Sus scrofa: one gene and its partner. The protein of the gene in region 1 purifies or fractionates together with the protein of each later gene. This does not show direct contact. Links are inferred from orthologs where the notes say so. Each region holds a gene or a part of one and is shown in the gene's direction. Other genes may lie near its edges. The genes, in order: RCC1 and RANBP1.

The links.
Region 2: the proteins of RCC1 (region 1) and RANBP1 purify together in Homo sapiens (affinity purification with mass spectrometry; 3 studies listed by BioGRID and IntAct, counting the BioPlex papers as one, with this or other methods). This does not show direct contact. The link is inferred for Sus scrofa from reciprocal best matches to the Homo sapiens genes RCC1 and RANBP1.

The regions. Positions count from the first base shown.
Region 1 is NC_010448.4:85,544,398-85,548,964, forward strand, and holds the start of RCC1 (regulator of chromosome condensation), read left to right. Parts: upstream 1-1,593; 5' UTR 1,594-1,685; intron 1,686-2,072; exon of another isoform or gene 2,073-2,207; intron 2,208-4,567. UniProt on the Homo sapiens protein: Guanine-nucleotide releasing factor that promotes the exchange of Ran-bound GDP by GTP, and thereby plays an important role in RAN-mediated functions in nuclear import and mitosis.
Region 2 is NC_010456.5:51,492,784-51,497,127, forward strand, and holds the start of RANBP1 (ran-specific GTPase-activating protein), read left to right. Parts: upstream 1-1,474; 5' UTR 1,475-1,737; coding exon 1,738-1,752; intron 1,753-1,759; exon of another isoform or gene 1,760-2,167; coding exon of another isoform or gene 2,168-2,191; intron 2,192-2,733; coding exon 2,734-2,870; intron 2,871-4,344. Other genes in the region: TRMT2A (tRNA (uracil-5-)-methyltransferase homolog A), read right to left, coding at 63-171, 396-955, 1,071-1,097. UniProt on the Homo sapiens protein: Plays a role in RAN-dependent nucleocytoplasmic transport. Alleviates the TNPO1-dependent inhibition of RAN GTPase activity and mediates the dissociation of RAN from proteins involved in transport into the nucleus.

The DNA.
Region 1 (4,567 bases):
GAGAGCCTTAACCTTGCCTTGAAAGATGAAGGGCCTGGGGTGGGGGTGGGATGGGGCATCTAGATCCATGGGAAGTGAGCTTTATTTTGGATGTTGAGTCTTCTGGGTAGAGCCGTAGGTCTGAAACTTAGGGTGGGGGTCAGAACCAGACCAGATGGACTGCCCTCTCAGTTAAAAGATGACAGCTCAGCCCGGAGCAAGCATTCTGATCTACCACTTGTATGATGGCCCGAGCCAACTTGTTTAACAAATGTCAAGGTTTTTGTGAGGAACAGATGAACTAATGGACATGAATGAACGTGTTTCTGTAAAGTAAAATGTTCTACAAAATAGGTGACAATACTTATTTTTATAATTACATCAAGCCATGTGAATGAGTAAGATCTTGGAGGAAGAAAGCAGAGAGAGATCAGAGATCCCAGGCTTAAAACTTGGAGGAATTTCACAGTATATCATCCGTGAGTGGAGTCTGTGATGGAGGCGGAAGTCAACTTGAGGAGGTAAGAAGCCCTGAAGATGGGGAATGCCTTGGGGTGGGCTCTAGAGAAGAAATGCAGTTAGTAAATACCAAAACTATCCATCTAGAGTTCAAGTATGGGAGAATGACTTTTAGAATTAGAGTCAACGTGACATGAAGGAAATATTCTTCTACAGAGGTCACTGGCCTGACTTGGGAAACCCCCAGACACAATCAAAAGGCCTGAAAAGTCACCACAAGGAACACTTGAAATCCTGAAGAATAGTCTGTATCCATCCTGAAGGAGTGTGTTAAGGAGAGTGGGTAGTTTGCTTCCTGCCTATTTAACATTCTGGCCCCCCACCTCAATTCACACCCTCATCTTTCTTTTCTTTATTTCTTTCTTTTTTTTTTTCTCCACAACCTAATCTTTCTTACCTCATTGCTCTCCCCCACTGTTGGTTTCCCCTTCCAAGTCTATTCTCCATTTTCTTCTAAAAAAATCTGCTCATGTCACTGACCTGCTCAAATCCCTTCTGTAGTTCCCCACTGCCTAAGGTTAGAGGCTCTCTCCTTAAACACACAAGACCCTGAATCCGCGGTCTGTCTCTTCCTCTCCCGTTTTCTTTCCTGTCACTCACTCCCAGGGCACCCTCTGCCCCAGTCAGGCCTTGGCAGTTAGTTTCCCATAATGACCAAAGGCTCTCATGGCTCCCTGTCATCGCAAGGGAGGCTTCTCCTAGGAAGCCCTACACTTTCCGGCTTAGCCTGGAAAGCCTTTCTTAAGCCCCAGCTAAGTCAGATAACCCTGTGCGTACCTTTGTCATCGCCCTGAATAGTTTGGTGATAGTCTGATGTCTCTTCTTTCTCTGAGAGCCTCTTGAGAGAAGGGAAGATCAGTATCTATTTGCCCGTACAGTCCCGTCCACACCAAATCTTCCCAAACAAACTCTGATTTCAAGTGCTCTTTCTGGTTGTCAGTCCACTTGTCCCTATTTGGGGTCTCCAAAATATACACCCACTGTACCCGGGCCAGGGTGGAGGTCAAGAGCGCCCTAGCCAGAGCGCGCCACTTGCACTTCCCGGGGCGGCCGCCAGGGGCCGCCGGGCCCTTTGTTTTCTTTTCTGGCCCGGGGTCGGGGCCGGAGGCCCGCAGAGCGCATGCTCTGGGGCAGTTCTCGGCCGGGCCGGCGATCGGAGGAGTTCCTTGTGGCGGACCTGCAGCGAGGTAGGTCGTGCCCGTCACGCGCGGAGGGTCGGAGCGGAGGGTGGCGCGCAGGGCGGGCACAGCCGGGGTACCTGCGGTTGCCGGCGGGCCGGGGCCGTTGCCTGCGCGCGCCCGTGTGGCGCGGCGCCGGCCCCACGTGAAGCCGGGCGGCAGGGAGGCGCGTGTGCGGGCGCGCGGCTCCCCGGCCCCGCAGGGCGCCCGGGAGCTGGCCGGGCCCCGCCTCGACCGAGCGAGGGCCGCGCGGCCCCTTCGCCGCCGCGCGGAACAAGCCTGGCCCGCGCCAGTCGCGCGGGCGGGAGATTCAAACGGCCCGAGCGCGGCCGGCCGGGGTGCGCGCGGCCGCGGTGACCTCGCCGCCTGCGGTGCGCAGCCCCGCGCGCCTCCCTGGCCAGGGCGGCTGTCCCGGCTGGGGCTGCGTTTCCGGAGCGGGAAAGTGATTTCGTCCAGCGGTGGTTTGGAGAATGCGATTTGCGGAGTGGCGGAGGTATCCTGCCCCGCGTGGGTCTGCTTTAGGAACTCGAGGTAGGCTGCAGAGGGTCTGCGCAGGGAGCGAAATCTCAGTGTCAACAGGCATCACGGCGACGACTGTTGACCCGTCGGGAGGTGTGCTGTGAACTCCGCATCAACTCATCTGTCAGGAGATTATTTACTGGCTGTCTCCTCCGTGCTGCCCTTGCAGGGCTGGGAAACATGGTGAGAGGACCCTGTGTAGCCTTGTCAGAGCTCCTGGCCTCTCTGGGGTGACCGGTGTGGGATCACAGTTATGGTTTAGGGTGATTTTTGAAGTATGCCAGTCGAGCCGGAGCGCTGCTGCTGGCTAATAGTAACTGAGGTGCTGCAACCAAGTATGACTTGGGCACCCCAGCCTAGGTTGAGTGTATGGAGGATGGAGAGGAACTCAGTCACTCAAGCCTGCCCAGGAGGGGTCACAGGGATGGCTTTGCCGCCAAGGTGATTTGTCCAGGGTTTTGAAGGAATTGGCAGATTGAGGGTGGAGGGGTTAGGGTGATCCAGGCAGGGAACAGAGCACACGGCAAAGGCATGAAGGTGTAGGGAGTGTTGTGATCCGGGGCTACCACGGGTGTTTGAGTCTGACTGGAGCACGGGGTACAGAGAGGGGAAGAGCAAGATGATTCAGCAGTGGTTGGGTCTCAAAAGGTCTGGAGTGCAAGACCAAGGAACTCTGGGTGGGAGTGGAGGCAGGGGTGGTTTCATCCACGAAGGGCATCAGAATGGAGTCTGGAAAGATCAACCAGGAGTTCTCCATGCTGCTGTTGCAAAGGCATCCCCAGAGCCGGAATCTTGTTCAGCTTTGCAGTGTCCTCGTTGGGTGCCCTTGAGCCACCCACCCACTCCCCTTGAGCCTTATTTTCCTTAACTGTAAAATGATAGGAGGCAGGTGGTGAGGATTACTAATATCCTATAATTTCCATAAAGCTGTGGTTCTGACATCTGGTGGAAGGTGTGGCCCCGGCTCAGCTCGGTACATAAGGGGGATTCCTTGGTAAGGAGCTCCTGGATGAAGTATACCAGCTCTGTGCCTGACACGAGGCAGGAGCTTATTAGCAAATGTTTGTTGACACATGAGTCTCAGAGCTCTTGGGGACTTTTCTCACAAAGATTCTTCAGCCTTTGCATCTGGTGGGCAAGTGTCTTTCGGGTTAAGGGGGGTGGAACACAGCTGCTGTGGTCAAAGAGGGCTCTGTGTCCCTTTGAAGAAATGAGGTCACTGGGGGTCACAGCAGGCTCCTGGTAAACTGTCTAGTCTGCTGTGCCTTCATTCACCAAATGAGGAAACAGATCCAGGGGGGTACTTGGGGAAGGGGCAAAGCTTTGGTCCTGCTAGGGAGTGGTCAGCTGTCATCCCACCTCTGTTTGGCCCAGGCCACCTTCTCCTGAGCCTCCACTTTCTTATTTGTAAAGGCAGAATGATCACACCTCTGGGGGCAGGTGTGTGCATTCTAGGAGAGGCTGGTACTCCTTAGGTGCCTATTGGCGGAAGCTGACTCTGTATCTGACGAACCGTGATTATATCTCACTCTTCTACCAGACTGTAACCTCCTTGAAGATGGAAGCTGTGTTTGTTGGGGAGTGCGGGGTGCAGACAAAAACTACTACTTAGTCCCAACCCAGACATTCCCTGTGTGATTAAGAAAACACACCCATGGAGTTCCCTTATGGGTCATTGGGTTAAGATCCAATGTTGTCATCGCTGTGGCTCAGATTGCATCCCTGGCCTGGGAACTTCTGCATGCCATGGGTGCAGCCAGAAAAGAAAGAAAACATACCCAGAGCGGTTAGAGAGTCTGTCCAAATGACTGATTAGTGTAGTAGAGGATATGCAGGTGGGTAATGGGTGCAGGGCTCCACCTTTTGGGAGGTGCCCTTTCACCCCTTGTCATGCCTCTAGAATTGTTCACAACAGCACGCTGCAGTGCCTGGAGCCCCTGTTTGAGAGATGCAAATTCTCAGACTTGAAGGGAACACAGGTTTCTGAGACTTGAAAACCAGTGCTCTCTCCACCACTGCACGGAGTTGTACCCATTGTCCTTCCACACATCCTTCAGCAGATCCGTCTCTACCTGGCCCACCCTCCCAGGCCCGAGCTGCCTCCGAGTCTCCTCCCACCATCCTGTCCCTCTGAGCAGGCTTCTGCCCTCTATTTCTTGTTTTTGGCCAGGCTTCTGGGGGCTTTTGGGGTGGCCTGTCCAGGCTACCTCAAACTCTCCCTAGATCATGGCCTACTTTTAGCCAACCTGTTCTTGTTTTGTTTTTGTTTTTGGCTACGCCCACAGTATGCATTAGTTTTCAGGCCAGGGATCAAACCTGTGCTGTGGCAGTGACCTGAGCTACAGCAATGACAATGGTGGATTCTTAACCCA
Region 2 (4,344 bases), on another chromosome or scaffold:
AAACAGAAAGAAGAGTGGAAGGAACAGGCAGGAAAAACTTCTGTAAGAGCAGAGGACCTAACCTGCTGGGGTGACGGCTTGACCCCTTCTAGCATGCAGCAAGCCTTGTTATGCTTTTGCCTCTGTGACAGTAGCCAGGGCAGCAGAGCACGGTTGGTGTTCCCAATTTCTCTGCAAGGTAAGGTGAGGTGGAAGTTGGACTCAGCCAACTGCCCATCCTCAGCTACCCTCCAAATGGCCAGGCGCCTGGGCCCCCACTTGGGACCTCATTGACCCAAGTGGTAACACAAGGGTCCTACTGGCCAGCGCCCCAGAATGACATCTGTACGCATGGGGCAAGCTCAGGAGGCCGCTTATGGGAGCTGTGCCAGGGGATGCTTTGACCCAACACTCACTTGGCTAGCTTCTGCAGCACCTGCTCACATTCCAGTCGCTTGCGCTCAAGCTGCTCTGCATAGGGCACGGTCCAAAGAGGGGTCACTACATCAGCGATACAGGTGGCCTGGGAGGCTGGCGGCTCACCCTCGTCCTCTCTCTGCCTCTTCCTGGCCATGGGATCAGCCTTCGGCCTCGCTAGGCGCACGCTGAGCGGGCGGCCCTTCCAGAGGGCGCCGTGCAGCACGCACAGGGCCTTGTCGCGCTCGGCGGCGCTACGAAATGTCACGAAGGCGCAAGGAGGCTGCCCGAAGAGTTTGGTCTTGTGGGGTTGCAGCCCAAAGCGGCCCAGGAAGCGCCGGACGTCGCTGAAGCTGGCATGGCGCGGTACGTTCTGCAACTCCAACTTAAAGATCTCCGAGGTGAACAGGCCGGCCCGGATGTAGCTATAGGGCCCCGGCTGAACGTCCGGCCCCGCGGCCCCAGCGTCCAGATCCTTCTCCTGCTGGGGGCCCGGGGCCGCGGGGCTGCCCGGCGCGCTGGGGCTGTCCTGACCGGGGTCCCCCACGCGCGCCTGACCCTGCGTGGAGACAGCAGACAGGCGGGTTGGCAAGCGCCCGAACGCCCGGCCCTCTGTCTCAGCCACCCATCTCACCACCCGTCCCTAACTCCAGCGGAATTTCCCTTCCCCGTACTTCGCTGTCGGGCTCGTCACCCATCATCCACTCTGTCCGCGGCCTCGTCCAGGGCCTTGCAAACAGGGGGCGCGCGGTGAGCGGGTGCGACTCCGAGAGGCAGGCCTCGCTCCAGCCCGGGCGGAGGCAGGACTCCCTCGGTGCTCAGGTCCAGGTCTCAGGCATGGCCCGGGCCCCCCACTCTCCTTGCCGGTCACTTTCCCGTCCGCTGCCGGCGCGCGTATCCCAGACAGCGTGTCTTAATCGTCTCGGCTTCCGGCGACATCATCGCCTCGCGCCGCTGAAACCCCCAGCCGCGCCTGCGAGCTCCAGGGGCGCGCGGCCGCGGGGCGGAAGTGCGCGCGAGGGCCGCCGGGAGTGCGCGTTCCCCCGCCTGCCGGGCTGGCCGGGCATGCGCCGCGGGCCTTTTGGCGGGAAGCGCGGGGCGGGCTGGACAATGAGAGTGTCTGCCGCCTGAGCCAATAAAGCTGTGCTGGTTTTGAATCGCGGCGCGTTTCCCGCCGCCGGGGTCAGGGGTCGGGGGTTCAGGTCGCGGGGCGGAGGGAAGAGCGGGCGGGCGGGAGGCGCCGGCGCCAGACGCGGAGGAAGAAGCTGCGACCAGCCGCCGAGAGGCCGCGGAGCCCGCGACGACCGAGCCCGCCGAATTGCCGCCGCCGCCGCCGCGCCCATGGCGGCCGCCAAGGTGGGCCGGGCCGGACAGGCCGGGGCGGGGGCCGGGCGGACTGGGGCCGCTACCGGCGGCCACGTGGGCGGCCCGCGCCGCCGCCAACCCCCACCGGCTTGCGGGCTCGGGTGCGGGGCCTCGTGACCTTGGGGCGGCCCGGCCTCGCGCTCGCTCCTCGTTTCCGGGCCGCTACTTGCCGCGGGCCCCGCACCGAGACGGCCCCCTCCCGCGGCCCGCGCAGCGCTCCATTCATCCGGTGGTGGCCCTCGAACCGCTACCGGACTCCGTGCCCGCGCGCGGTCCGGCGGGCGGCCTGTGGCGGCGGAGACAACGCAGTGCAGCCCGGTGCGGTCCGGCTAAGGGGCCGGCAAAGGCCTGCGTTTTTGGGCCGAGCCCGGGAGCGAAGTCTCTGGGAGTCTTAGCCTCCGGGTCTATGGATCATCAAGCCACGTGTTCCGTGAGACAACCTAAAACACCATCCTTTGTGTGCCGTAGTTAGTTCTCTGCACTGGAGCCGAATTCTATAACTCTTTTGTGTGAATCTTTTTAGTTTTTAAATCTGGTTTCCCAACCGAGATTAAATTGCTGGCAGAACTGTGAATTCTGTGTAAACGCTAGCAATCTTATCACAACTTTTTTTTTTCTTTGAAGTAAGAGGGCAGATTTTTCAGTAAAAATTCAGATGGATGATTTTGGTTTTAAGAGTATACTGAGGCTCTCTTCTCCTCATCACTGTGTCCTTGATCTGCATTTGACAGTGAGGCGTTCCAGGACCCTTGGAATTCCTGAAGCCCAGTTAGTCTGTGCAGTTTTGGTTGTTGCATCTGAGGGAGGGTGACAGAGTCCAGAGTCTTGCTGCAAGTCCCTGCAGAAAGCTTTGGGATGAAAGGCTTTTTAAGCCTTTGTTTTGGTGTGAGGCTGTTGACTAGTGGGGTTGCCCACCGTGGCCACTGGTGAGCTCTAGCACGGCCAGCAGGGTCACGACTCCCTCCTCTACAGGACACCCATGAGGACCACGACACCTCCACCGAGAATGCTGACGAGTCTAACCATGACCCCCAGTTTGAGCCGATAGTTTCTCTTCCTGAGCAAGAAATTAAAACGCTGGAAGAAGATGAGGAGGAGCTTTTTAAAATGTAAGTGAACTGATGTTTTTTCAGAAGGAGGTATCTTTAGTTTAAGATGGCACCTAGTGGTTTTATAAATTTCCAGAGCTTGGCTTGACCTTTAGCCATACCAAGGGTTTTGTGATGGCTAATCCCATGTGGAAATCAAGGTGGCTGTTAGCATTTACCTATTCCATGGCTCCCTGGTGTCCTGTTACCATAGCTCTGTCCACAAGGGACATCTCCCAGACCCCTGTGCTTGCTACCCGTGCCTCTAAGACTTCTGAAGCCCTTGCCCCCGCTTGAGTATTGGCTCTTTAGTGTTACGCTCTCTCTTTTTTTTTTCAACACAAGGACACTCTGAAGCACATGATTTTCTGATTCAGTGTCTTTGGCACACTAGGCAAAACTTGGAACTACAAGTGGAAGTGGGTAGTGTTAGAGTTACTCGGAGTTCCAGTCGTGGCTCAGTAGTTAACCCAACTAGCATCCATGAAGATGCAGGTTTGATCCCTGGCCTTGCTCAGTGGGTTAAGGATCCGGCGTTGCCATGAGCTGTGGTACAGGTCGCAGATGTGGCTTGGATCTAGTGTTGCTGTGGCAGTGTTGTAGGCCGGCAGCTACAGCACTGATTTGATCCCTAGCCTGGGAACCTCCATATGCCGCGGGTGCGGCCCTAAGAAGACAGAAAAAAAAAGAAAAGTTTCTTGGTGGCAACTACAAGTAGCTGTAGCTGCCATGCCACTTTGAAGCACTGTTTGCAGAATCTCTGTGTCCAGATGTCTGTGATAGTCACAGTACTGACAGCAGCACTGACACGGATTAAAGGAGACACTGGTGTAGCCCCAAGTTAGCGGAAATTGGGGGCAGGGTGGAACAGATTCTTCCCACCCCTTCGGACTCCGTCCAGGATGCCAGATTGTGGTTTGACTGTTTTGTTGTGAGTTGGAGGAGGGAAGCAGCGGGGCCAACACTGCTACCACTCTCTAAGGCAGGGAGGCTGGAGAAAGCAGCCCCTCCCTACCCCTCCCAAGGGCCTGAGGAGGAGAGCCACACACCCCTTAGGTCTCAGGGCTGGAGGCACAGGTTCTCTGGGTCTCTGTTCTGCCTGGAAGCGCTGCCGCCTCTCTTGACAGTTGAGTTTGGGAAGAGAGCAGTTTTTGCAGGGAAGGGGCCAGCAGAGCTGGGATCCTATGGGGACGTCTCCTGCTGCTCTATGCCCCAGGGACGCCAGGGTGCCCATGCACCGCAGTGGCAGCCTCTTCTGGGAGTGCTGCTGCACTCTCTGAGAGGGCAGGTCTTTTTTCCCATTTTTATTTTGAAGTAAAAACCCACAGTCTAGGGGGTTCCCGTCATGGCTCAGCGGTTGATGAATCCGACTGGGAACCACGGGGTTGCGGGTTCGATCCCTGGCATTGCTCAGTGGGTTGAGGATCCGGCATTGCAGTGAGCTGTGGTTTAGGTCGCAGACGCAGCTCAGATCCCACGTTGCTGTGGCTGTGGT